Oryzias latipes: one gene and its partners. The protein of the gene in region 4 binds, or shares a complex with, the protein of the main gene of each other region. Links are inferred from orthologs where the notes say so. Each region holds a gene or a part of one and is shown on either strand. Other genes may lie near its edges. The genes, in order: polr3c, polr3d, polr3f, polr3e, polr3k, crcp and polr3g.

Region 1 (4,184 bases), on a different chromosome or scaffold from region 4:
GACAGCTAGTTAATAATAAATAATAATAATAAATAATTAATAATGAAATAAATGTAAAAAGCTGTAGTATTTAAAGCACAGAGAACAATCCAAGAAAAAAGAGGAATTATTAGGAGTACTTCCAAAAACTATCACTTTATTTCATTTAAAATTTGAATTTTCTTTGATTTTAAGGTCAATACTTCAAAGTCAGATAGTCTTATCAAACAACCAAATGCTTATGCTAAATTCCTTCAGCCATACAAAGAGGGTTTTCAAATACTATTCATTTTTACTTTTAACCATCAAATAATTATACACTGAGGAAATGTATTTGGGTTTTTTTTTCTAGGCAATTATTTTTCAAAACCTGTTTTTCTTTTAATGAATAAAAAAAATGGTTAGTTTGAAATGTTTTGTGGAATTCCCACCTGATCTAGTTTGTTGGCGACAGCACTGATGATAGTCTGATCCCGGAAATGCTGGTGGAACCGTTCAAAGTTCACCTGCCAGTAAATCCCCTCATCCCCATGAGTCTGAGCACCAAAGATCCAAGTTATGAGAAGACAAACAGAAGTCACAACCATAGAAGTCTTAGCATATGCAGTGAACATCTTGCTTTAACAAACGTCTCTCTGACCTCTGGGTCCATTTTCGCTTTTTTCGCATTTCTTTGGTCCTCTCCTTCCTCGCTGGCGAGCGAGCGTTTGCTCCGGCCTATGAGTGTCACTTGAGGAACCCTGTAGCAGTCGGGGAAGCTTTCCGGTGTGGGTGCAGTGCTGCTGGCAGGAGCTGCAGAAGTCGAATTGGCAGTCTGACTGCTCCCTGTCGTTCCTGCTCCTGCTGCTGGGGGACAGCGCTGGAGAAAATGAGTCTCTACCAGTTTGGAAAAGGTGGCGGACACTTCACCATAATCCATGCTCGACCCCTCTGTATCAACAAAACATCAAAGGAAGTATTCATTAGAAAATGAATCTACTGATCGCGATATTTTAGGCCTCAATCCAAAGCTTAACTGAAAAAAAAACCTTCAGAAAACAGATCATCTCTTTTATGGACAGTCTTTTGTTTGATTCTGATGCTCACCGTCCATACTCTGAGTTAGACGGTCTGCGACTGTCTTAACTGTGTTGCTCATCGTCATGTGGCCCCTCTGCAGCAGCTCCTCTATGATAAGCTCACCGGTGTCGCCGTACAGCGTTTTGGCTGTGTATATGTAACGTGGGTAGCGCAGAATTCTCAGTACCCGATCGCAGTGGGCTTTGTATTCCGTCGGGCTCCCCGGTCCTTTTCGACCTTGAATAAACGAACAGGCTCCATGTTGCACAAGAACGCACAGAGACTTCTTTACCTTGATGAAAGAAGAAGAAGTCCTGTTAAAGTACATGAACATTACCAGACATCACTGTATTGTATTGACAAAAAACTGATAAGCAATCAGTTTCAGGTAAAACTGTTTTCAAATATGAATATATATTACCTGAATAATTACATTATAATTTTGTTTCTCTTATTGTTCAAATATCTTTAAAGAACTAACTTTTGCCATATTGCAAGGGACATAGTAATATATGTGACCGTTTGCTTTGAATAATAATTCAAATAATGAATAATTTTGATTATTTTTCAAAGAACATCTGACTACAGCGAATGCAATCTCAGTCTTGCGTTGACCTACCAGATCCACTGACAAGCCAGTTTCATGAACAATGGCTCTTAAATTTTGCGTTCCACTTTTGAGCAGATTTCTTCCCACTTTCTCCACCACTTCTCCAAAGTGCTCCTGCAGCAGAAGACCACACAGACGGACCTCCTGGGCTGTCATCTGCACAAACACACCAACAGTTCAATGAAAACCACTAAGTTAATAATAAGAACTAATGCATGTGCTTTTAGTAGGCTGTAAAGATGAATCGATTCATCCATCTGAGGCAAGATGTTAATCGAATCAAACTATACCAATATGAATTAATTTTAAAAGGAAATAAATCAATTATTATCAATATTGGAAAATACCATTTGGATTAAGGCACAGTAGGCTTTTTTTCTAACTATAACGTTAAAACAGACAACACATCGAATGGCAGCAAAATGTAGGTAAAACTGTCCATTCATTCTTTTTTACTTGTTTGTTTGTAAACATGTTTAATTTACACTTAATTATGTTGCAAAAAAATACAGGGAATGTGGAAAACTTCCCCTGCACTGTTCAGAATCCAGGTATTTATTTTCTGAGTCCCACTGGTTGAATTCTTGGCTAAAGATGTTCTGGATCGATTTTAGATCAGTGAATCGGATCGGATTTGATCGTTCAACATGAACCAATATAAACAATAAATCAATTTTATTTTAGTTCAGTTTAGTTTTTCAATAAACAGCACTTTTTTTAGTTATGTTATCTCTATACATCTAGTTTACGAACTACAAACAACAATAATAGTATTTTACTTTGTTAAAACAGGCACCACTTATTCCAACAGGTAAAATCTAAAAATAAAAAGTTAGATCGGTCATTAAGTAGTTTCCCTTATAGCATACAGTGCATGTAAACTATCTCTTCTAATTTGAAAAGTCAACAGTTGTTCAAGTTCTTTCCCCCTTGGGCTTTTGGATAGTAAAATTACAATTGCATGCTGGGAATTTACTAAATTATCTCTGAATATTTGATGGTATAAGCCTGGCATTTTTTTTTTTTCACAAACCTTTTTCGATTTCAGATCTCGCAATGAAAGCAGACTCCGTGCAGATAGTTTAGCGCATGAGGCTAGTCGATGACAACAAACAGACACTTCCGCTCCCGGTTTTTTGCTTGCTGTGATTCGACAACAGTGCCGCAGTGCATGCCGGGCTGGGGGCGGACAGCTCCCTTCAGCTAGTGGAGGACCGACGTCAGTGTTTGTGCTGCTCCGGGAAGATGGCGGAGGCTGCGGCTGTTCCCTCGCATCGGTTTTTCTGTCACTGTTGTAAGGGAGAAGTAAATCCCAAACTCCCGGTAAGTCGCGTTATTTTTGGTTATTCGCTCATTTTATGTTGAGTGTTATGCGCGGCTGACAAGTCTGCCTTCCGGCAGGTAGCTGTTTGTTTCGGCTACTTCTTGCTACAGCTAAGCCCATAGGCTATTAGCATATAGCAGTGTTTGTTGTTGTTAAGTCAGTAAAGAAACTCCGGTTAGTCGTTTTAGGGGAAACTAAGCTACTCTTAAAACTAACGATAGTAGGTCTTGTTATTCGTGCCTGTTTTAAAATACTTACGCTAATCTCTGTGCTTCAAGGTAGAAGTTGTGTGCTTGGTGGTAAATGATAGATGCATGTTTTTGAACAAAACAGCCCGAATTAATCTGAGAGTTTATTTATTCATAAACTGTCACTCAGATTTTCCTTTTCAGTATATATACACATTTAGTTTTTGTTTCTGTTAACAGCAGTGGCAGTATAAGCAGGGGAAGTTTTCTGTAGATGTCATACGTTGTGGTTTACTTTCAGTTTTAGTGTTAAAGTCAAACGTAACAATGTCGGCAGAAGAGGCGTTTAAATGGCCTACTATTACTATTTTACAAATATTCTTTAAAAGGCCATTTATTTAAAAGGACATTCCTACGTTTTTACAAAAACATTTAACTAACTGTAAGTGTTTGTTTTTTTATTTGTAGTTTTTTTTCTCTTGTTGACTCCGTTTTGTGTTTTTGAAACAAATGTTCCTTGGTAAATAAATAAAAATTGACACACATTTTTCAATCATTGAAATATAAGTTATTTTGTTGATGATAATGATTATAGTATTTCATTTTGGACAAGAAAAAATTTGGACAGGTTAAAATAAATACCAGAAATATCTGAATTTCTAACATGAATGTGTTCTCTTACATGTTTTATAAATTTAGCTTATAACTGGCTGATGTATTGAGTAAATGAATTTTGTTATATAACCCGAATTTTAGGAAACACTGCTTTATGTTGTGTCTAGATTTTGACTGAAAGTTTAAATTAAAAAGTGCAACCTGTTAGCTTCTTAGAAGCAATCTGTTAGACTGATACAGAGATGGAGGGTTCTGTGATTTACTGTGCCATAAAGTAAAAATAAACATCCAAACGTCTATTTGTTTAATCGACCAGTAAACTGGAAACAGAGCTGTGACTATTGCCTCCCCATTATTTTTAAATTTCAGATAATTGGTCACTAATTCTGGATTTACTCACTTGTCTCTT
Region 2 (4,263 bases), on a different chromosome or scaffold from region 4:
ACTTTTGTCTTTGAAGAGACCCATTGAAAAGGATACATTGACTCCTTCTGCTTGGCAAATTTTTCATTTTGTGTATATAGAACATAAAAAAACATACATTTTTCTTGCCAAGTTATTCTTAAAAGAAAAAAAATCGTCATTAAACTTGGAGTTTCAAACATCATCTAAACTCTATATCTTGAATTCCCCTTTAATATTTTCTCACACTAAACCATACTCTAATGACATGCAGCTCATAAAAAGGTAACCTAAACTTTCCCTGTTTGATCAAATTGATTTATTTAACTGCATCTATTTATATTTTTCACATATTAAAAACAAATATTTTCTTTGCACTCTGAAGGCCTATTGGATGTTTCCTTTAACAGATTATTTGTATTATTACTATATCACACAGTAGGAACATTCATTACTTATATCACAAACTCTATTTTAATTCCTTAAAAATGTAAAGATGTGAGTTTCCATTTAGAGTTTATATTAGATTTAATCTGTTTAACTGCATGGAAATATTTAATCTTACTGTTTTATTTAACTGCATGCAGTTGTTTGCATAAGGTAGCAAATGGATAGTTCAGTTGGCTCTGTGTAGGACTGGATCATGGGAAACCAGGATCCGCTTCCCAGGGGCCACAATGAACTTGATGCAGTGTGGGCCCTTAGGCAAGACCCTTTGTTGTACTGCGTAACTATGCAGCCACAAGGGGGCCCAAGTCTAGGTTCCCCTGTGCCGGTCCCCAGCTAGGATAAAATACAGGGTTGTGTCAGGAAGATCATCTGGCGCAAAAATCTCTGCAAAGCTACCTGTGAGAATCAGGGAAAGCTGATTCGCTGTCGAGACCCCAGAAGGAATATGCTGAAAGGCGAGAAATATAAAAGCGTGAATGTTGCATAAGACTATTTTGCTGTAAGACAGAAAATAACCAAGGAAACAAGTGCCCAAACAAATGAAATATTTATTATTATTATTATTATTATTATTATTATTATTATTATTATTATTATTATTATTATTATTATTATTATTATTATTATTATTGTTAGTAGTAGTAGTAATATAATCAGTTCCCTTAGCATGTCAGAGGAAAATAACATCTTTAGAAAAAAAAAATTTCCAATCTCGAAATATGCCATATCTTTTGGTTCTTCACATCTGAGACATTTATTTCAAAACATTCAATAACATTAATCCATGCAAAAGATTTTTATGAATCTGACAAAACTTGCAGGAAAACTAATGCACGATATGTCAGAACTCAAAATATAATTTTCATTTAGCTGTTTTAGGAAACATTTGGAAAGACTAGTATAATCGTTTATCTAATCTTATCTTTTTTATGACAGTGAATTTTTTTGGACTGTGGATTCTGAAATAAAACATAAAAATAAAACAAAATAATGTTTCTAAGCATGCGCGTTTTTCTGCGCATGTTTGATCCTCGAGAGCAAGTTGAAGCCAAAGCGGAAGTGTCATGGCGCCGCTAGTGAATGCAGCGGTGGACGAGGCAACAGGATTTTGTTTCTGATATCTGGCAGGTTTTAGGGGGGAAAACTCCGAATAAGGACCACCGAGGACGTGTCGTGTAAGTTTTTGGAGAACTGCAATATGTTAAGACTTCCTCTGGACAGCTTTCGCGTTGTTTGTGATCTATCTTACTAGCCACGTGTTTCTGTAACATTTTTCTTCATTCATCGTATGTAAATACTGGTTGTGTATTTAAATCACTGACAAATATCATTGTAAACACAATTTATTCTCAATGCTTAGACTCGAAAGTTTAAGAAATCATTCCTAATTAATGTCTTGAATTGCTTACGTTCAGAACCACAACAGAGTAAAAAAGATAAAAAGAAAAAGGTTACAGAACGGACTGAAAGTATATTTTTGTTTATCCCGGTATTATTACAAATTACATTAATGTAAACCTCAATAACATTAATTTTAGGTATGGGGTCTAATGATTAATTAATAAAGTGACACATCAAAACAGATTTTGTGGCTGAAACAAGTTGATAATGGATTCAAATCGAACTGTACCATTATAAAATCCTTTCAAAATTATATTAAATTGATAATCGATCTTGGAAAGTACCATTCAGATACATGCTTGGTTTTTTAACTATAGCGTAAAAACGACGTGATGGTGATGTTAGCAAAGAAATGTCAAAGCATCATTCCATTGCAATGTGTGGAAAAACAATTAATTTAGAAAAGACATGTGACCATAATCACAATAGTGTTCAGAAAAACAGCAGAAATCATTGATCGATTTTCTGGTCTTGTTACAAACTAACCAACCTCCAGCTGGCACAGAAACATGCCCTCTTGACTGTGAAGGAATTGAGCGTCCCCGCACAACAAATCAAACATACCCTGTAAGACGCGCATGCTCAATGTGTTTGTTTAGGGAAATAACAGAATTCTTTTTTTTAATTGGACAATTGCAACATACAGAACAAGAGAATGCAACAATTATGCACATATAATGTACAGTAGAATAAACGTGTTACAACATTAAGAAAATTTTAATTATTAGAAGCAATCACAAAAGGCAATAACAAATAAAAATAAATAAATAAAATAAAACTAAACAAAGAAAAAAATAAAATAAAGTTAAAAAAAAATAATAATAAAAAGAGAAAATACGAGAGTAAACTTATATCAGTAGTCCAAAAAATTTACAAATTTCAATTGTTTTTTGAGCTTTTGTATTTTTTGAAGATGAAATTAAGTTTAAATATTGCTGCAGTTCAAGTGACAGAATTTGTGGACATGAAGGGAGGGACACGCAAATCCCCTTTTGTAGCGATGATAAGACACTAAAAATCTTTTCTTTATCTTTTTGCTAATTTTAGTGTCACGTGCTGTTGAGCATTGCTAATTTTCTTGCAAAGATGTATTACAAAAACAAGTGCGTTGATCTTATTTTGCGAGATAACAGCTGGTTCTTTTAAATTTTGGCATAGGGGCCAAAAAAACAAAACAAAAGAACTTCTAGCCTGTAGCTTTACTTTGAAATCCAATGATTGGCGACACACGAGGATGAGGGGCCATAAATAAACGTCACAGCTGAGATCACCTGGTCAGAACACAGTACTTTCTCAGGAAGTTGAGGCAGGCCCTCTTCTTTCAGGAACTGCTGGTCAGGTTTTATAAGGCCAACAATGAGGGTTCAGTTCTAGTGCCGCGCTGTCTGAAGGCACAACAGAGGACAGGAAGACCGTGCAGGAAGTAGTAAGAACAGAGGGGAGGGGGATAGGAAGTGCACTACCAGACTGATTGGGAAAGAGTTGTATTTGGAAAGATGCCACACACCCTGGACATTACGTAACTGTTTTAAAGGCACACGCCAACAGAATCCAGAGTAGTGTTTCACCTGGCAGTAAAATGTGTGCAACCTCCTCATAAAGACATTTGAAAACAATTTTTATGTAATATTTGTGTATTTTCCTTTTAAACATCACCATTGTCTGAGAGAGATGATGATGAGTATTATTGTTGGCCACCAGGTTGGGAGTTTGACATCCCTTTAAAGTTCAGGATGGCGGACTCCGGGGAGTCCAGCAGTCAACGCGTTCCCACTCCTGCAGGCGCCAGCAGCAGCAATGTAGGACTCCAGATGGGGCGTCGACCACCAGCTGGACTCTCTCCTGGACGCCTCCCTTCCATGCGGTCAAGGGACCTCACCCTGGGAGGAGTGAAGAAGGTTAGCATCATACCTCACTCGCCATTTAATCTTTGGGTTAGGAATTGTGTTAGATGAGTTAATCACACCAGATATATTAAGAAACCCTTCTGTAGCTTCTTTTGCCCTACTTGCAATCATGATTTTTTTTTTCTAGATTTCAAAAATAAACAGCTTTTCTTATTACTCATTTATCTTTTTTTTAATTTTATAGAAAACCTTCACACCCAACATCATTGGCCGAAAGGTTAAAGAGGAGTAAGTTGATTTTATTTCTAGGATTGAAAAATGCAGTGAAGAACAAATAAAATTCGTGTAAACTGAAGCTTTAACTGTTTTAAAAAAAAAATTTTTGGTTGCAACAGAGCCAAAGTTGAGACTGATCAAAGGAGAGATCGGAGAGGTGGAGAACGTGGTCGAGGGCCGAGAGACAGAGGCAGGGGCCGAGGTCGCCAAGAGATCATCCAGTCCCATTCTATCTTTGAGCAGGGGCCGGCCGAGATGATGATGAAAAGGAGAGGTGGGGGGCCAGCAGGACTAGCATATGCAGTTTGCTGCTGCAGCTGAACTGCCATTT
Region 3 (4,223 bases), on a different chromosome or scaffold from region 4:
TTTATCCAGCATAGGAAAGCAATAAACCCGAACAATTTCAACTTCATCTGGAAAAACAAAATTAATTCCATAAAAAAAGAACAATAATTCAGGATTACAGTGAAGGTGGACTTAAAGCCTCAGACTTTGAAAGTTTGGATGGTATGATTCAAATAAATTGGCTTAAGTCTTTTCTGCAAAATGGGAGAAATATTTGGTTTCATATTCCCTCAAACATCTTTTCTCATCTAGGGGGTATTGAGTTGCTTCTAAAATGTGATTTTGATTACAGAAAACTTCCTATTAAACTTTCTACTCATCATCAGCAGCTGTTACTGTATGGAAACTCCTCTACAAACATAACTGTAGTTCACACAATACTCCATATGGAACTGTTGGGATATTTTATGTAGGAACAAATCAATATTTTACAAACATTGGATTGATGACAGTATTTGGTCATTAATACATATTATGAATGACAATGGAAACATTATCTCATTTGAAACTTTTTCCAGTAAATTTAAATTAAATGATAGAAAATAATATAATAATGTGATCAAAGCCTCAGACTTTGGTCCAAATGTCCTCCAGTCTGGTTCATGATGATCAAGTTCAGCTTCCCTCTCTGTTGTTTGATGGTCGACCGGTTAATTCAAAACTTCCAAACTCATTTATACGATCTTTATTTGTTAGAGCCGTCCTGTTTCCAACATTAGACATAAATCATTCTATGTCACAGCTTTACACAAGAGAGGAAATAAGCAAGTTGAGGTCTCAGTTCATTAAATATCCAATTTTCCCAAAATACAAAGAAATCCATTTTAAAATAATGAATGCAGTCTATCCATGCAAAGAACTGTTACACATACGTTTAGGTTTTCCAGAGAATAACTGTTCTTTTTGTGATATAAATATTGAAACACTTGATCATTTGTTTTTTGAATGTATGTATGTTTACAGTTTTTGGGAGGATTTCTTTTTTTGGTGCTCTTCAAAGTTTCCCTTTCCTATTTCTATTCACTTACAAAAGCACATTATATTATTTGGAGTAGTTTCTGGTGATAATCTATTTGATTTGACATTCAATACCTTATTAATATCTGGGAAATTTTTCATTCACAAGTGCAGATTTGTAAAAACGAAACCATTATTTAATACATTTCTTAAAGAAATCAGTTTATATTTTAAATCTCTGACATTGATGAAAAACAAAAATGCAATAAAACTGTGTGTTTTCATTGAAGATCACATGCTGTATGACAATCCCTAGTGTTGTAAACTATAATTCTATATATTTTGTTTTATTTATTTACTTATTTTCTTTTTCTCTCTTTTTTGTATGTTGTTATTATGTGTATGTTTAAAGTTCAAATAAACAAAATTAAAAAAAAACAAAAAAAAACGTGAACGGACATCACGTGCTCTGATGACGTCACACAGGACCGAGCCTCTCCCGCCGCTGGGGGGCGGTAACGCTCCGGTCTCCGTGGTTCCCCCAGAAGAAGAAGCGGCGTCACCGGCAGCAGCGGACCGGGGAGATGGCGGAGGTTCGGGTAAAGAAAGAGACGAACCTGGCGGAACCTGCAGAGGTGGAGACCAGGTTCGGACCTCACGATTCTGCCGCGTGCCGGTCCATGACCGAAGCGCGTGCATTTCATCTACGAGCAGCTCCTTGGCTTGTTTCATGCGCGCGTGTCTTAAGTTCAGAAACGGTTCTGGTTCCGGAGGCTACTCTAAACCGAACCTCAGCAGGCTTCTAAGACCGAAACCACTTTGTCTGGTTCCAGAGGTTCGAATCGGGAGACCGACTCAGCTCACGCTCAGGTGGTTTTAGAACCGAGTCCAGTTCTGAAGGTTTTAGATCTGAGTAAACCTCCGAAGACTTCAGAACCGAGTGCAGGTCTGAAGACATTAGACTCGAGTCACTCGGGTCTAATGTCTTCATAACTGGACTCGGACTCGAGTCCCGTGAGTTCAGGTCTAAAGACTAAAGGAACCGAGTCCATCCAGGTCTGAAGACTTCAGAACTGAGTCCCGGTATGAAGGTTTTAGATCCGAGTCCAGGTCTGAAGACTTTAGAACCGAGTTCAGTTCTGCAGACTTTAGAACCGAGTCCCGGTATGAAGGTTTTAGATCCGAGTCCTGGTTTGAAGGTCCAGGTCCGAGGACTATCGCTGCAGCTGTTGGATGTTCTGGATGTTGTTCAGAGAACACGCGGATGGGTCAGACGGATTCTAGAGTTCAGGCGGTCTTTGGACCATTTCTGAAGATCCAACGTGACGTTCTGAACGGACCAGAAACACTAGAACCTCCGTCTTGGAGAGGTCCATCTGAAGATGTTCCTTTTTGTTCCAACTGGAGATGAGACCCAAGCTGACACAGGGTTTATTATGGGATGTCTGATCTTTGGAGCGACTGGACCTTGTGGTTCTGATCCAGGAACTTCAGCTCTGAACGCCTGTGTGTCTCCAGGATCAGAGAGCTGTGTCAGCAGTTCCCTCAGGGAATCACAGACCAGGTGATCCAGAACGACATGCCTCACCTGGAGCCGCAGCAGAGGGCCCTGGCCATCAACAAGCTGCTGTCCCTGGTTAGTCCGGTTCTGAACAACCCAATCCATTCTTCAGCGCAGAGGGGTTCTAACGTAACCTGGTGTTTGTTCCAGGGCCAGCTGGACTTGCTCAGGAACAGTTCTGGTCTTCTGTACAGATTAAAAGATTCTCAGACAGCCAGGTGAGCAGCGTTCCATCTGCAGGTTCTGGTTCTGTCCACCGTGAACCCCAATCCTCTGTTTCAGTAAGATGAAGGGCTCGGACAACCAGGAGAAGCTGGTTTACCAGATCATCGAGGATGCCGGAAACAAAGGTGAGCTCTGTCTGCCTCCTTCCAGAAGGTACCGCGGGTCAGAACCTCCCAGATGTTCTGTTCGCAGGAATCTGGAGCAGAGACATCCGCTTCAAGAGCAACCTCCCTCTGACCGAGATCAACAAGATCCTGAAGAACCTGGAGAGCAAGAAGCTCATCAAAGCCGTCAAATCTGTGGCCGTGAGTTCAGAACCGAGCCGGTCCAGACGTGCTTGTGGCCGCCGGCAGTCCTGAACTCTGCTCGTCTGCCACGCAGGCGTCCAAGAAGAAGGTCTACATGCTGTACAACGTGCAGCCGGACCGCTCCGTCACCGGAGGGGCCTGGTACAGCGACCAGGACTTTGAGTCCGAGTTCGTGGAGGTTCTGAACCAGCAGTGCTTCAAGTTCCTGCAGAGCAAGGTATGGAGAACCCAAATGTACGGAACACCAAACCAATGGGTCACAAAGGTCAGAGGTCAGCTGTAGAGCTACGTTTACACCGGGAAACGCGTTCAAGGGACCGCTTTGAGTCCAAAGTCTACGGGAACGCGTCTACGCTTCCGCCTCCAAACTCTACAAAAAGCGCCGCCATTGAACGTGAAACCAGTTGAACTTTGACCAATCAGGGACTCTGAGTTGGTTGCGACGTATGATGGCGTCAAAGCAGAAGTACCAACGACTGAAACTTGATCAGAAAGGACAAAGTAATAACTGCGGTTTGTGTCGACGCCAAGTCTATGATGGATCAGAATCGAGCTGTGAACAAAAGACTCACCAGATTTGGACGTTTCCCACCGAGTCGTCCAACCGCAGGAGACGGCGCCGGGTAGCCACAGTCCAGAATGAACGCCGTAGGCGAGCAAAGGTTCTGTGGTCTTCAACGCGCATCACGTGTGTGAACGTAGCACCAGGCTGAGGGGCCCACCCCTCACCCCCACTCACCCCTGTGTGCAGGCGGAGGCGGCGCGGGGCGGCCAGCAGAGCCCCATGGTTCAGAGGAACAGCTCCTTCGCCACGTCTCACGAAGTCTGGAAGTACATCAGCGAGTTGGGCATCAGCAAGGTGGCCCCGCCGTGACCTCACAGCCCCTCCCAACAGCTGCAGCTGTTCTCACAGGTGTCCCGTGTGCAGGTGGACCTGTCCATGGACGACATCGAGACCATCCTGAACACGCTGATCTACGACGGGAAGGTGGAGATGACCGTGATCGCCGCCAAGGAGGGGACGGTGGGCAGCGTGGACGGACAGATGAAGCTGTACCGCGGCGTGAACGCCGTGCTGCCGCCGGCGGGCCTGGTGAAGACGCCCTGCGGCCTGTGCCCGGTAAGCCGCGCTCCGACGCCCCCTGCTGCCGCTCCGGCTGCGGCACTCACCCCCCCCCCCCCCCCAATCTCTC
Region 4 (4,296 bases):
AGCTTCTGTGAAAAGTAAAAAACAATTTCACATTTTGAGAAAACGCAAGTTTTTCTTTGAATCCGTTGTGCAATCCTAGGCACTTTAACATTGGGCGTTGGGTCATCTAGACCCCACAAGATTCTTCAATGATTTGTGATCTTCACTGGTGTCCATGGATTACATGAAATCCTCTTCACCTTTATCCACCTTTGTCATGGTAGGGAGAACACGTCAATGGTCATCTTGACCCCATAGGATAGCACAAGGGGTATTTGTGCTTTTTCAAGTCAAAAAATTAATATACCGGTAATTCATATTTATTACAAAAATAACAAAGTAATGAATGCAAAGCAAATATCAAATTTTCCTAAAGACTTTGTGGCTCCTACTACTCCAACACATAAAAGGTCAAATGGCTTTTTAAGTGTTGATGGTTGCAGACCTCTGCTTTAAACCAACAACATGGCTGCTCTCTCACCATCTTCTACACCTTTCCTTTCATTCTTGCTAACATTTTTCTTTTGTCTCACATCATACCTAAACCTTCCTCCACCCATTACAACCTGTCTGCATATGCCTCTACAACCAATCTGTTGTTCTAGACTGGAAATCCTCCCCATCTTCTGCAGCGGACCTTCAGTCCTCTCCTTTCCACGTCAAACCCCCACCTCTCTAGTTGTTCTTCCACTTCCTTTCTGCTTTCAATGCATGTCATTTGCAGACATCATGGTCCACAGAGATTTCTGTCTAACTTCATCTGTCAGTCTGTTCATCACCACACAAACAAGGAAGACCATCTCACCACTGCCTCACACCTCTCATACATGTCCAATTTCCATTGGCACCCTGTGGATGACTGTACCATTGGTGGTTGTTGTTACACCTTTGCCACGATTAGTATAAAATTTATTGTTGTAGTTTGCACGACTGTATTGACTTTGGTTTTACTGGGTGCCCTTCATGACACAACCCTTTGTATTTACAAACCATCTCACAATTCCCTGTTTAAAATTGAACCGTGTGTTTCACCATTGAACTGAACAAAATCGTGGAGAAAGTGAATTGTTGCATCTCGACTGGATACCACTAGGGTGACGTTGAGTGACAATGAGTTGTTTTAAATTTAACACAACTGATTGACACTCAATTGTGTTAAATGTAGGAAGTATTTATTGATTCTTTATTCTTTAAGTAAATTATACCAGTCTTAGTGTAACCCAGGTATAAAAGGTTTCTCTTCATTGGTACTTACCTATTTCCAAATAAAAAAAAAACTTTTCCGAATGTCTCGGTTCTTGTTGTTTCGTGATACACAATTCATATATACATATACGGCACGTATATATATATGTCCCATGTCCTTTAGCCGGACATGGGACAGGTAATGCGTCGTGCAGCCTTGTGGTTGCATTTATAATTGAACATGAATAGGCAGCGTTCAGCTGCCTATGGACTATGATGACACATTTTCCTTCGCAATGCATCACGGTAGCGTGGCCGAGCGGTCTAAGGCGCTGGATTAAGGCTCCAGTCTCTTCGGGGGCGTGGGTTCGAATCCCACCGCTGCCAAGAATTCTTTTTGGTACGTCGTTGTTTTTCCTCAACGCTTGATCTAACAGTTAAAGAAAACACATGCAGAACGAATTAGTGAATAAAAGGTAAGTTAAAGTAAATAGGTTATAAAGACACGTGACAGTGCTCAGTTCCGCAGTTTGGTCCGAATAGCATTATTTGCACGAGCACGTCCAACTCCCCACGTGTCTGTTGAAACAGCGTCAACATCATGGTACCTCAAGCCCGGTAGTTTGCTTCAAGTCTAGTAGTTCACTCATGGACTGTTCTTGAACGTGTTATATATTTAAACTGCAGGGGGTGAGCAGGTGAGGCCTCACGCTGTTTCTATGGGGATGCCACATGTCCAAAGTGCTAAATCTGATGTTTTGTCTTGTTTATCATAAATCTCTGATGTGTGTGTTAGCACGCTAAGCTACATTACTCTGGTTAGCTTAGCTACAGCCTACCTTCAGTTTTGGAATTTTCAGAAAACTCCACAGTTAAAAGTGTCGTTCGTCTCTGTCTACTTAAGCGCGTATTTGTAAAGAAATGTTATTTTGAGTGTCTCTGTTGTGGGGGCCTGTGGCTAGTAATTTAAAGAGCTGATGCTTGCTAGGCTAATGAAGCTAACGAAGCAAGAACTATCTGACTTTTCTGAACTGTGGGCCTGCAGAAAATTGTGTAACCAACATAAATCACAGATTGACAAGGATGCTGGACGTCGTTTGTATTTAGGGAAGTGAAAAACTTCAATTTTTTGGATGGTTGCGTACTATTACATCAGTTTCGCCGTGATGGGTCCGTGAAAGCATCATCTGACATGCTGCATCATCACAGATTAGTTTAGATCGCATATAGATACAGAAATGTAACTTGTTATACGTTTAACTACCAATGAAACACTTTTTTTTTTTTTTACAAATATAATGTACATCTGGATTACTAGGACTTCTGTTAAACCTTTCTGTTCTTTTGGATTACCTGCTGTAGCATATTAAAAGCAGTGTTAATCAATGACGGATTCTTGCTTTGCATTTATTTTGTCCAGGTTGAAGTCCTCTGATATATCACTGCTGCTCCCCTGATCCTATAGATATGGCCAGTGGAGATGAAGATGATCCAATTATAGAGGAGGTATGTTTACGTCTGGAATTTAAATAAAGTTTCAATCCTCTTCTGATCACTGCTATGCAGCAACTTTGAGCCATGAGAAATATGTATTTGAATGAATGAATTAAACTTTATTGATCTCAAAAATAAGGAAATGACCATGTTTATGGGTAAATGTAGTTCCCATTAAACTAGCATGTATTAGTGTTTGTTTTAAGCTAATTTGAAGACGTTTTTCTGTGGTCTGCGGTCGATTGAAAAACAATCCAACATGCTGTTGTCTAACAATTCATCTGTGTTTACACTGTGACCTTCTCTAAAGAGAATGGAAACTACTGACAGCCTCTGAAATCGGTCACATATTTACATTAAACAACATTAACAGTATTAGGCAAGTGGTTTGGTTTTTCCAAACGCATTTTAATTAGAGTGGTTAATTTTCACATACATGTCCTCCATCATCATAAAAAAAAAAAACAATTTTCATCAGAGTGTGGGTCATCAGTTTCTTTGGGAAACCCCCCCAAAAAAGAAGAGCCTCTGAGTTTTGCAGCATTTTTCCTATAACCTGATCTGCAGGATTGCATATTGAGCCATATGTACAAAAAGGAGTGCCGCTGCTTTGGGGTTTTCAACTGGAAATGTCTCCTTCAGTTTACACTTGGTGTGGGAGTTTTAGTGTGTAGATTAGCAGGTGGTTTGTACAAAATGCCCAAGGAAGCCTTTTGTGCCATTGTTTAAGAGAAGTTGTTGTGTTTAAGAGGCAGATGTATTCATAGGCAGAAAAACCTTTTTGGTATTGTTTATTAATATGTTTTCAAAAAAACTATTTTTTAATTGACTTTTTGTGTACTTATGTTTCATGCACTTTAGGAAGCAACGTTATGTATGTAAAGTGCTAAACAAATAATGTTTAGTTTAACAATTTTCTTATTTATTATGTTTTAAGACATTTTATTTAGATAACTACATGAATAGAAATGCAGTTAAGACTCATATAATATTACGTTGAAAACCTTGAAGCTCAGAGTCATTTGTGCAGAGTGGAAAAGTCTGATTTTCATTTGTGTGTTTCTGTAGATTGACGTGTACCTCGCCAAAAGCCTCGCAGATAAGCTCTATCTTTTCCAGGTAAGCATTTCCTTCATTATTGTGCCTGTTTTTATATTCTGCTTAAAACCTTTTACTTTCCTCATGGTCAATGCTTTTTATTTTTATTTTTTTATTTATTTTTTTTACTGTTAAATGGAAGTCAGTTGAATGTGTTAGTCACATAAATATACACATAAAAAGGAAAAATTGAATTCAAAATTATTATTCTTTTTCTGTTTTGAGAGCCACAAACATAATGAATAAGCATTTTTTCTGCCCTTTCAGATGTTTTGTTGAAAATGTGTAACTTGCACCAAACCCATTTCAATTATCTTGATTTTAATGAAATGTTTCTGTTAAAATTTGTTCTTCAAAATGTTCCTTTTTTAGTCATTTATTCCTTAAGCTTTTAATTATTTATCTTTAATAACAGATTAATAAAATAGTATTTTTTCTAAACTTTGATAGTTGAAAAAAAGCTCTCCTCTGGCTTGTTGTGTTGACTCATCGTTTAATCTTTCGTTTTTTGTGCAGTATCCTGTCCGGCCGGCTATTATG
Region 5 (3,163 bases), on a different chromosome or scaffold from region 4:
ATCATTGCATTGATCACCTAATCTTGACATTTGTCATCTATGACATAAATAAATGCATGTTAGATGAAGCGATAGCCTTGACTGAGCAGTCTTTTCAGATTAAGCTAAAAAAATATCAAAAATACAGTTTTTATTGGATAAACCACTAACAGTGTAAAAGCACTGTTCCGTCACAGCATGTCCGATTTCATTTTTCACCAACGCTTTGGAGGTGCAGAATTTGTCTGCATGAGCTACACATCCAAATAAGTGATTCTCTTTGGCTGGCTCCTAGATTTGTATTTTTTTTTCTCTTCCTTACCTTAAGGATGATTGAGTTGCTCTAGAAATTGCATTTTGAGCTCAAGGATTGCATAGAAAATAAACGTGTGGGAACCAGTGGTATGCATTGCTCTCAATGTCTGCAACAAGATACAAACATCTAAGACAATTGAATTGACTGATGTACACAGGTATTATTTTATCAATAAAAGCTCTGAAATAAAGAATTTGTCCGTTGATTGATTCTGAAAAGCAAATTTTATTTATAAATAATAATGGGTCCAAAACATTCTTTACATGTGCTTTGATTGCCATTTAAACTAGAAATAATGAGTGAATGAAATAAAATGCTCAATCTCTCCATCTGTTTCCACACTGAGCATTACAGCATTTGTAGAAAGTCGTCATTGGTTCATCGGCTGATCTGGTCTGGATCTGCATGAAGTAGGCTCGAGGATGCTCGCATTTGGGACACGTTTCTGTGAAAAAACACAAGCAAACATGCATATATGTACACACATGTTCAGAATTTTAGTTAGTTCTCGGATTGAACTTCTTTCTGTGGCCCACATTCAGGTTGGTACTCGCCATAGCATCACACAGCAACACTGCCTCTAGCAAAAAGTAGTCCATTTAAGTGTACTACAAGTATACTTAGAGTGAGGCAGTGTACTTGAAGTTCAGTCTATATATAGTAAACATAAAATGTCACAATTTAGTCAGAATAAGTGTTAAGTTAATGTACTCCCTACACGTTACATGGTCAGCAGTATATGTGCAATACTTGCATCCAAGTACACTTAATAAAATAAACTTCAAGTGTACTTGCAGCTAAGGGTGACTATTAACACCCTTTAAACACGCAAATGGACTGTTTCAAATAAACTTTAATTTATTCCTATGGAGAACATATTTGTCTTAGTAGTCAAATTAGTTTTTCTTGGCCTTTGTTTTATATTATTCTCTAGTCTATCCATGTTTTTTTTTAATTCTTGGTAACAAACTTGTTTGTTACCTGCAGTAGAATCCACGTTCTCCCACGCTGCAGCTCCACCCAGCACATCATCCACCTCTTTCAGCTTGGGATATTTTCGGTAGTTTACCTACAAATATTGAAAAGTTTGAGATTAAAAACCACCCTAAGAAATGTCGTGTTTGTTTCTCGAGTCAGAGTCAGACAGTGATAAAAGGAGCGTACCTTTCTCGTGACGTTGTGCACATAGGGACAAGTGTTACAAGCGAATCTCAAGCATTTCTGTCCTTCTTCTACGATTAAAACGTTTCCACAAGTAGGACAAAAAAGAAGCATATTACCAGATTATTTAAAGAAAAACTATCTCGGGAAAGATAGTAGCGACTACGAAATTCATTAGCAAGGAGAAGCAAAGCGGAAGCAGTTGCTCCGGTTTTACAGCTCGGTAGGAAACAAAAAAAAAAAAAACGTTTGTTAAAAATGAAATTGTTATTGTTAAAGAATGTATATAAATGTATAAATATATGTATAACATTATAAATAATATAATTATTTTAAAACCCCACCATCCGCCGCATGAAAAAAAGTTCTTACTTTTGATAAGCGGAACTATTTATCATGTTTTGATGATACCACCGGTATAAGGTCTGCGACACACAGCATTAAAATTCACACCAGTCTTGGGATACATTTTTGTAAACAGTATCCTATTATTATTATTTTAAGAATCTTTTGTACTTAATTGAACGCGTCAAAAAAGAGAAAGCGGTTTCATTTTTACTGAATGTATTTATTTTTAACCAATAATAGATGATGGAGCAGGAAACCGACGAAGGAGAGAATCGTTTGCAGGACAGTCACAGTCACAGTGAGGTGAAAGAGGAGAAGCTGGCTGATGAGACAGCTCCAGATGCCGAGGAGGAAGATGAGGAGTCTCTTCCACATTCAGAGATCCTTGATATCTTCGAAGAGGGACTTGCTCGACTTGTGCAGGACCCTTTACTGTGTGATCTGCCGATCCAGGTCATAGAAAAACACCACACTCCGCACACCAGGCAGATGTTTAAAGAAAATTTTCATAAATTGTAAATTTAACACTAAAGTTGAAACGCGTCCTTCTTCCGGTTTGTCTGACGGCATATTTGCATAGCAGAAAATAGCTGCATATATATTCTTGAAAAGCCAAATCGAATCCAATTTCAAAACAATCTTATAGCTCTAATTTATGTTTTCTCTCCTTTTTCTTCTTGAAACTGTTTATACGATTTAAGAATTATATACGAATAGCAATGAAATAAATGTTCTAATCTAGAATTAAGTACCAAACATGCATAATAAAAATAACAAAAACACAGGTTATAATCCATAACATTAGTATTGTCAGTATTGCTCTTGTAACATTGGACTATTATACAATAATCACATTTGTTTTTTTTTAATCTCATTTATTATTAAGCCCAGAAAGAAATCTGTTATTTACAACTGGTTTATCTTTCGTATTTGCAAATTTGTCTTTGAGAAAACATGAAATGTCTGCAGTTATAAAGGATTAACCAAGTCCATTTGACTGATTTTTTTTTTTTTTACCCTCTACTGTGTTAGAAGGATGAGAATCCACAATCTGCAATATTTTTGTGTTCAGGTGACTTTGGAAGAAGTAAACTCCCAGATTGCATTGGAGTATGGGCAAGCAATGACTGTGAAGGTTGTTAAGGCAGATGGGGAAATCATGCGTAAGTTCCAAAGTCTCCCAGCTGATTTGTATAATTAGTATGTGTCTATATTGTGTTTGTATGACTATGTCTGTGTTCACTGCCTGACTCATCAGACCTCATAACCTTCTTCTATCGCTCTGGAGTCCAATCTAAATGTTCCCTGACAAACGTTTTTTTTCTGGTTGGCCTTAATGGTCAGTGGGTTTTTTTTTAA
Region 6 (4,193 bases), on a different chromosome or scaffold from region 4:
ATGGTGGTGGAATCAGCATTATCGGGCATCCTCAGGGAGGTGTGAAAAAGATCGACCCCTGTTTGATTGTTCCACACAGCCAGGTTGTTGATAGGGTTCCCCTGATAACCAAGTATTTCTTTGCTGATAAACTTTTGAAATACGAATCTAGTTTTTTCGAAGGCTCCTCTGGCTCTCCTGTTTTTGACAACCACTGCAATGTGGTTGCAATGCATTCAGGAGGATTCACCTACGACAAAGAAGGGATGGAAAGACGGGCTGTTGTTGAATATGCCCAACCTCTGCATTTCATTTTGGAAGATTTTATTATCCAAATGGTGGAGGGAAAAAAGTTTGACGTTTTGAGAGAATATCTTGATTGCAGCTACACTCGAGGCACCGCCGTCAAAGACGGTGTCAAAAAAATAGTTGAGAGCAGAAATAACCAACGGTTCAAAGAAGCTGCAAGGAGCTGTGTGGATGACAAAGTTGTACAAACATTCCTTGAGTTTTTCTGCCAAACTGAGGAACCTGTCCCAATGGAGGTTGTTTAGGTCTCATCATCTCATTTTATAGTTATCCTGGGCTTGACTGCAGTAAAACAAAGAAATTCCAGCAGTGAAAAGCAAAAATTAAACGAAAGCTTTAAACTCAGCTTTAATAAAAGTTAAAGCTTTAATTTCTGCACTTATTGTTTACTTTATTGTTGCTCCAAGCAATTCACATGCACCTGTTTAATATAATTATGTGATTTTTCTGTCCCAGAAACATTTTTAACCATCACTCTCCAGTTCAGAGAAAAAATAATGCTGGAAAAAATCTGTTCACTCTTGTATATTTTACTTGTATGGATGTCCAATTCTTACATTTCAGTCTTGACTCATTCCTGTATCAAGTTCTTGAAAAGAAATGCCAACAAAAGGTTTCCTTTTTTTGGTTGTTTTATTATGTTTTGGGATTTATTTGTTTTTTCAAATATAGATTACTCATTACTCAGTGCAGTAGCATAAAATTCATTGTACTTTTTCTGTTTTTGTTTTTAAAAAGCAAAAAGTGTTCAATACTGTGTGCTTCAAATCATGACTAATGAAACTGTATTAAAATCTGATAAAAGTGACTTCTAGTGTATTCCTTTTTTGTTCCCTTACCCTAACAGTAAATGTTAAATGTTTAATATGTTTAAAATAACCCTCGATGTGTTCAGGGTGTACTTCACCTTCTCCCTGATGCTGCTGCATGAGGCTCTGGAAGTCCTTGTTAATTTCATTGAACTGTTTGGTGAAGGGGCTTTCGAATTTACACTTTTTGAGATACTCTTACATTGTTTTTCATTTTCAAACATCTCGGCAGTGTTTCACTTTTTTAAATATTTATTCTGTTTTCTCTGATCCCACGTTCTATGTAAAAATGCGTTTTTTGCTAGGCGGAACCAATATACTCCCCTATTTTCTACACGAACCCCTTTATTGTAACGGAACCTAAGAGTCGACATGGAAGTGTAAGATTTTTTTTTTAAGAACAAAACAACGGCTAATAAGTCTTTTATGTATATTTACATGTACAATTTTAATTGTGATCGATGGTAGTTTCGTGCGTGTTTCAGTTTCGGGTTTATTATGTGATGTTTTGCTTGTTCCGTTGGGATGATGCTGTCGGCCAAAAAATGGAGAGATGATGATCGACACACAAAACAACTGAATTAAAACATATTGAGTCCGGGAGACTTTGATCCATTTTGAAGAGTTTGCAGTCTACAAATGTTTTAAATTGTATTATGTTTGGGGACGAAGTTAGAGACGGGACAAAAGGTCGCGAAATCGTTTATAAACGTAAATTTCAGAAGATGGGAGAAACAAAAAGCACGGGTCGGATTAGTTTGAGTTTGTGTTATCAAATATTTGTTTCAAATCATGAAACATTCCATTTACAAACACATTCTGCGTTGGCTCTTCAATAATAAATGAATTAGTTATGACATGATGAAGCAGCTAAAAAACATTTTGTCATCTAATATAAGCCAACTCAGCCGCACTCCACAACATTTGTCAACTTGTCACTTGAGCTCTGATCTAATTCATATTTGCCTGAAATCACAAACTTAATTTTTCTAAATAACATTGAAGCAAAGAAATATGGGAAACAGGTTTGAATTTAAACAGTATTCTGTCTTGTTTTTCATTAGATTTATTTATATTTATCAAAAGTTTGCTTTTTTTAATTGTATTTCTTTTCTTCTTCAAACTTGAAAAACAAAAACATTTGCTAATATCTATTTCAGTAAGTTTCAACGGCTTTAAAATAATCTAATTGATGGGTTTCTAGTTTTTAAAAAGGGAAAACACAAAAAAAAATTATTGCTGTTCATTAAAGAGAAGATCTGAGGTTCCGATTAAGAAAATTTCGTTATATAAATAAAAATCAAGTAGAGAAATCCAGCCGTTCTTTTAGTAACACAAGGATGTGAAGATCAAATCACAGAAGAAAAATGTTTACTAAATATATAAACTACATGGGAAATATTCCAATCTTATAAAGCTTGTTTTGGTAACAGATATTTTAATTATCTCATAATTTAATGTTTAACAATTGTTATTTGGGTTTTTTTACACAGAAAAAATGCAAACGCGGCCATGCTCAGTAACTATGAGGTGAGACTATAAGACTGTCTATTAAGGGTTTTTGTTGATTTTCCTGCCTGGTAATGAAATTAATTATTCAGAAAAGCTAAATAATGTCTTCGTCTCAGGTATTCAAACTTCTCACCGACCTGAAAGAACAGAGGAAAGATGCTGGAAAAAGCAAACATAGCCTCGGGCAACAGGACCTCAACACCATCATGTATGAAGTGGGTACTATTCATACTGTCTGAGCTTTAGTTGTCAAATCCAGTCCATGTTCTCACCTGCATTTGCTTTCAGACTCTAAAGTATTTGTCAAAGACGCCATGCAGCAGACAGAGTCCTGAAATTGTCAGAGAGTTCCTCACCACCATGATGCCTCAGAAGCTGACCAAGTCAGTATCTAAAAGATAATATTTTTCACCCCTCTGGGGCTTCAATTGTAATTTCCGCTTAATAAATGATGTATAGTTTGGGGATAAAAATGTCTCAAAGTTAAAATTTTGCCATCTTTCTCTCTTTAAGGGCAGAAAAACTGCAGCTGTTAAACCAACGGCCTCAGAGTGCAGTGGAAATTCAGCTTGTAAGTATTTTTCATGTCTTTCTAAATGTTTTATCTTTTTTTCCTAAATAATTTACTCATGTATTCCTATGGTAGCTCTGTATAACAAATGAGATCTTTCTCATATTTGTATTTTTGTTAACTCAACCCAAAAAGGCTCAAATCTAACCCAAAACATGCACTTTTTCACATGCATCCATCAGCAACTTCATTTGTTACATGTAGATTGCCCTACAGGTTCTACCACTCTGGTTTTTTCATGCTATTCCTGTCTGCAGGGTTAGTTTGAATGGGCAATTCACAGTAAATCCAGGCTTGAGCCCATTCCTGTAACGCATTAATAATCTATTGAAGCAGCTATTACAAGACAATGTTAACAATACCTTATACAGCAAACCAAAAAGACCCTCATGACCCGTTTAAGCAAAGCCTTATTATTGCTTTAGCTAAGCGTTGAGGTTATGGCTGTGATGGGTTTAGAAATATTTAATCCTTAAAATGGGTACATTGCACTATTTGACTAAAAATCAAGTAGAGAAATCCAGCCGTTCTTTTAGCAAACTGAGTAACACCAGGATGTGGAGTGCAGACTTCTGATGCTGCTTCACTGGGGTGTGGTGTGTCCCGAAAAAATCTTTTTTAGCAACCAATAATTACTCACCTAAAGCCAAGTGTAGAAGGCTCCCTCTATTAAGAAATAATCTGGTTTCATAATGCAACAGCAATTATATATTGTCCTAAATCAGTTATTCTAGAGCAGATTATCTCTTAGAGTACATTTTAAAAAGTGAATTTCCAAAACTATATGGAGCCTCTTAAAGAACTGCACTCCCTGTTTACCATTTGTCTCTCTGCAATCTGTATCCTTTTAAAATAAAAATATTTTTTTCAATACAAAGCAGCTATAAAGCAGTTGTTGCAGTGAACACAAATGAGGCCATTTCCATTAGCATCCACTAACATGCAGTTCTAAAACTCAGCCTGCAGATGTCGCCCTTCTCACTTTTGAGATGCTTTTAACCCTTGTGCTATCT
Region 7 (4,291 bases), on a different chromosome or scaffold from region 4:
ACAGACATTTCATATGCAACTGTCAAAGCCATGCAAAATGGGCTTCAGTAGGTTGCTTCCCCATCCATGTTATCGTCACTTTCAGCAGCAAAATCTTCACCGTTGTCAAAATAGCTTTCAATGTAGTCATTTTCCTGAGGAGCAACAAGCAGATAAAACATTAGTTGCATCAAATAAGACCAATGCAGATTTTCCACTATTCCTGGGACCAAACCTCTTCTATGTCTTCTTCGAGTTCTTCCTCTTCGATTTCTTCATCGTCCTCTGCTTTCTTCTCAGTTTCCTCATCTGACTTCTCAGGATTTTCATCTTTCTTGGCCAATTCCTGAGCAGATTTTTTGGGGTGGGATTCAAACTAAATGGTAGGCTTTCTTCCCATTTAAAAAAAAGTCTACATTTTCACAGCAGTTCTCTTTGTTCTGCTTGGCAGTATGGTTTGGGCCAATGTGTTTAAAGCCGATCAGTTAAGGAAGAAATGTTCAAGTCTGAACAGTTTCCTTTTTAAATAGATTTAAGCCCATCAGACACTAAAGATGGGTCTGTCAAGATCATTCAAGAGTCAAACTGTTTTTAAACTTGATGTAATTTGATCAGTTTCAGAAAGGGACATGCGATTTTTACTTTTTTTACCAATTCAAAATCAGAAGCACCAGTACAATAAGCGTTTTTCAGTCTAATGTTGGTATTAAAAAAACAGGTAAAATTGTGCCTTATATTTTACACAGATGTAGACTTCTGCAAAATCTTGCTAAAACTTCGTACAACCATAATCTTTTTTCACATGGCTTTAAACTATTCTGTCCTTATGGCAGTTTCCAAACTAGATTTTTTTATTTTAAAGGCATGTGCCTACTAACTTCAGCACCGAATGACAGCGCCTAAAGACATCCTTGTACAAAGTTCAATTAAGAAAAAAAAACATTTAAATAGTCTAAAAAAGCTAAAGAAGGAAGATAGGCTTACATCCAGTTTACTGAGCACATTGGCTTTATCTTCCTTCAACTTCTTCACAGTTTTAGTCTTGGTGCCTGAAGCAAAAAACACTTTTTAAATAAATAAAAAACACGCATTCAACATTTCCTGCATGCAATGTGACTTTAATTTACCTTTCTTAATTCTACGTTTTTTACTTTGGGGCATCAGTTCTTTGGGAAAAAGGTTCCAGTCTGAAATGTGTGACACGATGTTTGCATTACTTTACATGACACCTTTTGAAAAAAAAATTTCCATCTAAAGCAATTACCTGGAGTCCATTCCTCACTGTTAATCTGGGCTTGTTTCAAGTATCTTTCAGTGTATTTCTCCACCTCTGTTTCATGTAAACAGAACAACAGAGTACATTTGAAAAAAGTATCAGATCAGTGAGAATTTTTTTACTAAACATAAAAGATAAAAAACAAATGAAAGTTAATCTCTGGAATCAATTCATTGCTACAGCAAAAATAAATTTATTGTTTAGACATTTATGCATTGTACCAAATTATTTGTTCATAAATGAATCTTAAAAAGTATTTTCTAATGATCAAAAGTCTGGAACCTGGATTAGAAATTGTCTTTTTTTTAACAGGTGACTTAAATTAAATGTACTCCTTTAAGTTTTTTCTTGGGTTTATGTCATAGACCAAAGAAAATTAAAGATGTTTAAAATATCTGTAATGATGGACCCCTAAAAAAACAACAACAATTGAAAACTTCATAATGAGGCATAAGCAGTAACTATAGAATCTCATTTCTCTTATGTATAACACTCATAAAATGTCTGATTTCCCAAAAGCAGCAGTTATCTCCACTTCCAGCAGCCCAGAATTATCTTGACGTAGAAATCTCTCATATGTCAGCACTCTCCCCCCTACCCGTTTTGCTGGAGCAAGCTTTAATGTTGTGTGGTAGCCTCTGCATTGCTCCTCTTAATTCCTGTTTTAACGCCAGCATGTAGTCTTCCTCTTCACCTCCTTTGAGTGGAACCGGTTTAAATTCAGTAGTCTAAATAAGGGCAAATGATGCAAGATATTTATTACAGTGACACGTTTCTTGTTTATCTGAAAATTGGTGTAATCCAAGCAGGCAGTCATTCTCAGAAAGTGTCCATAAACCAAGTGTTTGACACAAAATAGATTACATCATAGTTTGCTTTCTGAGCACATTTTACAAAGTACTGAGACTACACAGGGAGAGTACACTAAAAGCCCTACGTTGATGACACATGCCAATTTATTTTACTTAAATAAAACTTGAATTTTTGCTAATTAAACCTTCCATCTTTCCGTGTTTGTGTGGCATTTACTTACTGGAAACAGTGGACTGGGCCCCACCCTGGCTTCTGGCATGTTGCCTCTGCCAATGCCCAGAGCATCAATGTTGAAGGTAAACGCAGCCACCCCGCGGCCTTTGCCTGCCATGGCTGCGCCCCTGACCACGACCTGCAACACACGGTTCATCCTCAGGCAAGCACCGTCATTGACAAGCACGTGCTTGCCGGTATTGCACCATTGAGTCCGCTATGAGAAATGACAATTTTTCCCTGATATATATTTTTTCATAAATACTTACAGGAGGCCTGCTGGTAAAACTCTCCTTTTATGGAGACGTGAGATAAAAAAATAAAGTTTTATAACTATAAATGACACGTGTTTCCCAATGAAATCTTATTGAATTTGATTTATTTGTTAAAGCTAAACGGTCCGAGTTTGTGGCTTAGCGGTTTAGCTTACATTTAGGCGAAAAAGATAAGTAAATAAACCTATCGCTTCTTTCTATGGTTTTTTTGTGGAACCGGCTGGGAAACGCATGTGTAACCAATAGACTAGTCAGCGTGAGCAGATGCTTTCCCCTCTCCGCCCCTGCTTACGTCCCAATAGGGCGTTTCTTATTTTCGTCCAATCGCTGCCGCGTTCACATCTACCGTCATTTCTCACTTCGACCAATGGGCTGGCTGCTTTCAAACAAGGGTGTGTGCGGCCACCATCATTACAGCTTCAATGAAACCACACTGCTCCTAGCTACGAGGCTACTAACACTGTTGTGCTAATTCAGCCGACGGCGCGTCTCCCTTCCGAAGCTTACCTCGACATTTGCATGTCCTGGGATGTCTGCAGCCGACTGGTACGCCCACAAGTCGCTCGGAGACGGACTATTCTGGATCCAGGAGCGGTTTTATCAATCGGACAACCGGGCCAACATCTGGTTGCTCCGCGGTTCGCATCAGGACGTGGTGATAGACACCGGCCTGGGGCTGAGGAGCTTACCTGACTACATCGACTCCAAGGGGCTGCTGGGAAAAGACCCGCAGAGGAAGAACCCGCTGCTGGCCATCGCCACTCACGCCCACTTCGACCACTCGGGGGGTCTGCATCAGTTCCAACAGGTGGGCGTCCACAGCGCAGAGGTCGATGCGCTGGCCAACGGAGACAACTTCGAGACGGTCACCTGGTTGAGCGACAGGGAGATAGCCGAGCGCCCCAGTCCAGGGTGGAGAGCAAGGAACTACAAAGTCAAGGCTGTTCAGCCCACGCACATACTGCAAGAGGGTAGGCAGGGCATCTGTCAGCACACATGTGGTGCTTGGTGCTAGTGGGGGCTAAATCTGGGGTCAAACCTACAACTTAAAAACTTCATTCAGTGTATTAGAGTTTCAAAATCCTTCTCATTCTCAAACCAAATTTCTGCAAAACGAAATTAACAGATGGCCCAGTGACAAGCCAGACACAAGAAACCAGACTTTCAAATATTTGCACATGGGTGAGGTTGGGATACTGTGTGGTCCTCACCATTGTCTTGGCTCTCTTCCTGCAAAGCTGATCTATTTTTAAGTCACCATGCTGATGACTTTGGCAGATTCTGTTACTTTCAGGAATGAGTGTGTAGGTTTTTCTCACACACACAGCAAAGCACTGGGATATTTATCACCCACCATCCTGTCTGTGAATAAGTATATTCTGGACATAAGCATTTTCTAAACCAGGGCTCCTCATTCCTGGTACTCGAGATTTATCGCCCTGCCTGTTTTCCATCTCTCCCTGCACTGCTTGCTGCTGACTACCTGGAGCAGGTGTGTTCATTCAATCAGAATGTGGAGACATCTGATTGAGCTAATCATCCGCTAGCAGGACTTGGAGATCTGGAAAACCGTCAGGGTGGTAGATCTCGAGGATCAGGAATGAACAGCCCTGTCTAACCCTTGTGCTATCCTATGGGGTCAAGATGGCCATTGACGTGTTCTCCCTACCGTGGATAAAGATGGAGAGGATTTCATGTAATCCATGGAAACCAGTGAAGATCACAAATCATTAAA

The links.
Region 1: polr3e (region 4) and polr3c share a complex: the UniProt entries of both Homo sapiens proteins name them as parts of the RNA polymerase III complex. The link is inferred for Oryzias latipes from reciprocal best matches to the Homo sapiens genes POLR3E and POLR3C.
Region 2: polr3e (region 4) and polr3d share a complex: the UniProt entries of both Homo sapiens proteins name them as parts of the RNA polymerase III complex. The link is inferred for Oryzias latipes from reciprocal best matches to the Homo sapiens genes POLR3E and POLR3D.
Region 3: polr3e (region 4) and polr3f share a complex: the UniProt entries of both Homo sapiens proteins name them as parts of the RNA polymerase III complex. The link is inferred for Oryzias latipes from reciprocal best matches to the Homo sapiens genes POLR3E and POLR3F.
Region 5: polr3e (region 4) and polr3k share a complex: the UniProt entries of both Homo sapiens proteins name them as parts of the RNA polymerase III complex. The link is inferred for Oryzias latipes from reciprocal best matches to the Homo sapiens genes POLR3E and POLR3K.
Region 6: polr3e (region 4) and crcp share a complex: the UniProt entries of both Homo sapiens proteins name them as parts of the RNA polymerase III complex. The link is inferred for Oryzias latipes from reciprocal best matches to the Homo sapiens genes POLR3E and CRCP.
Region 7: polr3e (region 4) and polr3g share a complex: the UniProt entries of both Homo sapiens proteins name them as parts of the RNA polymerase III complex. The link is inferred for Oryzias latipes from reciprocal best matches to the Homo sapiens genes POLR3E and POLR3G.

The regions. Positions count from the first base shown.
Region 1 is NC_019874.2:18,840,176-18,844,359, reverse strand, and holds the start of polr3c (DNA-directed RNA polymerase III subunit RPC3), read right to left. Parts: upstream 2,801-4,184; 5' UTR 2,682-2,800; intron 1,805-2,681; coding exon 1,658-1,804; intron 1,331-1,657; coding exon 1,066-1,330; intron 910-1,065; coding exon 620-909; intron 516-619; coding exon 411-515; intron 1-410. Other genes in the region: E3 ubiquitin-protein ligase RNF115, read left to right, coding at 2,894-2,971. UniProt on the Homo sapiens protein: DNA-dependent RNA polymerase catalyzes the transcription of DNA into RNA using the four ribonucleoside triphosphates as substrates.
Region 2 is NC_019867.2:17,411,597-17,415,859, reverse strand, and holds the start of polr3d (DNA-directed RNA polymerase III subunit RPC4), read left to right. Parts: upstream 1-1,463; 5' UTR 1,464-1,583; intron 1,584-3,510; 5' UTR 3,511-3,542; coding exon 3,543-3,707; intron 3,708-3,900; coding exon 3,901-3,944; intron 3,945-4,051; coding exon 4,052-4,206; intron 4,207-4,263. UniProt on the Homo sapiens protein: DNA-dependent RNA polymerase catalyzes the transcription of DNA into RNA using the four ribonucleoside triphosphates as substrates.
Region 3 is NC_019859.2:414,638-418,860, reverse strand, and holds the start of polr3f (DNA-directed RNA polymerase III subunit RPC6), read left to right. Parts: upstream 1-1,423; 5' UTR 1,424-1,520; coding exon 1,521-1,582; intron 1,583-2,454; coding exon 2,455-2,572; intron 2,573-2,647; coding exon 2,648-2,715; intron 2,716-2,779; coding exon 2,780-2,847; intron 2,848-2,914; coding exon 2,915-3,027; intron 3,028-3,103; coding exon 3,104-3,247; intron 3,248-3,781; coding exon 3,782-3,889; intron 3,890-3,958; coding exon 3,959-4,150; intron 4,151-4,223. UniProt on the Homo sapiens protein: DNA-dependent RNA polymerase catalyzes the transcription of DNA into RNA using the four ribonucleoside triphosphates as substrates.
Region 4 is NC_019877.2:13,142,977-13,147,272, reverse strand, and holds the start of polr3e (DNA-directed RNA polymerase III subunit RPC5), read left to right. Parts: upstream 1-1,496; 5' UTR 1,497-1,564; exon of another isoform or gene 1,565-1,640; intron 1,641-1,696; exon of another isoform or gene 1,697-1,862; intron 1,863-2,584; 5' UTR 2,585-2,631; coding exon 2,632-2,670; intron 2,671-3,726; coding exon 3,727-3,777; intron 3,778-4,272; coding exon 4,273-4,296. UniProt on the Homo sapiens protein: DNA-dependent RNA polymerase catalyzes the transcription of DNA into RNA using the four ribonucleoside triphosphates as substrates.
Region 5 is NC_019866.2:8,138,547-8,141,709, reverse strand, and holds polr3k (DNA-directed RNA polymerase III subunit RPC10), read right to left. Parts: upstream 1,677-3,163; 5' UTR 1,571-1,676; coding exon 1,460-1,570; intron 1,365-1,459; coding exon 1,277-1,364; intron 741-1,276; coding exon 613-740; 3' UTR 501-612; downstream 1-500. Other genes in the region: snrnp25 (U11/U12 small nuclear ribonucleoprotein 25 kDa protein), read left to right, coding at 2,045-2,257, 2,877-2,967. UniProt on the Homo sapiens protein: Core component of RNA polymerase III (Pol III) which synthesizes small non-coding RNAs using the four ribonucleoside triphosphates as substrates. Can mediate Pol I proofreading of the nascent RNA transcript.
Region 6 is NC_019872.2:8,449,030-8,453,222, reverse strand, and holds the start of crcp (DNA-directed RNA polymerase III subunit RPC9), read left to right. Parts: upstream 1-1,393; 5' UTR 1,394-1,469; coding exon 1,470-1,477; intron 1,478-2,590; coding exon 2,591-2,627; intron 2,628-2,725; coding exon 2,726-2,824; intron 2,825-2,897; coding exon 2,898-2,992; intron 2,993-3,122; coding exon 3,123-3,180; intron 3,181-4,193. Other genes in the region: protein FAM111A, read left to right, coding at 1-533. UniProt on the Homo sapiens protein: DNA-dependent RNA polymerase catalyzes the transcription of DNA into RNA using the four ribonucleoside triphosphates as substrates.
Region 7 is NC_019867.2:16,255,786-16,260,076, forward strand, and holds the start of polr3g (DNA-directed RNA polymerase III subunit RPC7), read right to left. Parts: upstream 2,801-4,291; 5' UTR 2,551-2,800; intron 2,421-2,550; 5' UTR 2,400-2,420; coding exon 2,289-2,399; intron 1,984-2,288; coding exon 1,854-1,983; intron 1,310-1,853; coding exon 1,244-1,309; intron 1,167-1,243; coding exon 1,107-1,166; intron 1,029-1,106; coding exon 964-1,028; intron 326-963; coding exon 215-325; intron 135-214; coding exon 45-134; 3' UTR 1-44. Other genes in the region: mblac2 (metallo-beta-lactamase domain-containing protein 2), read left to right, coding at 3,086-3,527. UniProt on the Homo sapiens protein: DNA-dependent RNA polymerase catalyzes the transcription of DNA into RNA using the four ribonucleoside triphosphates as substrates.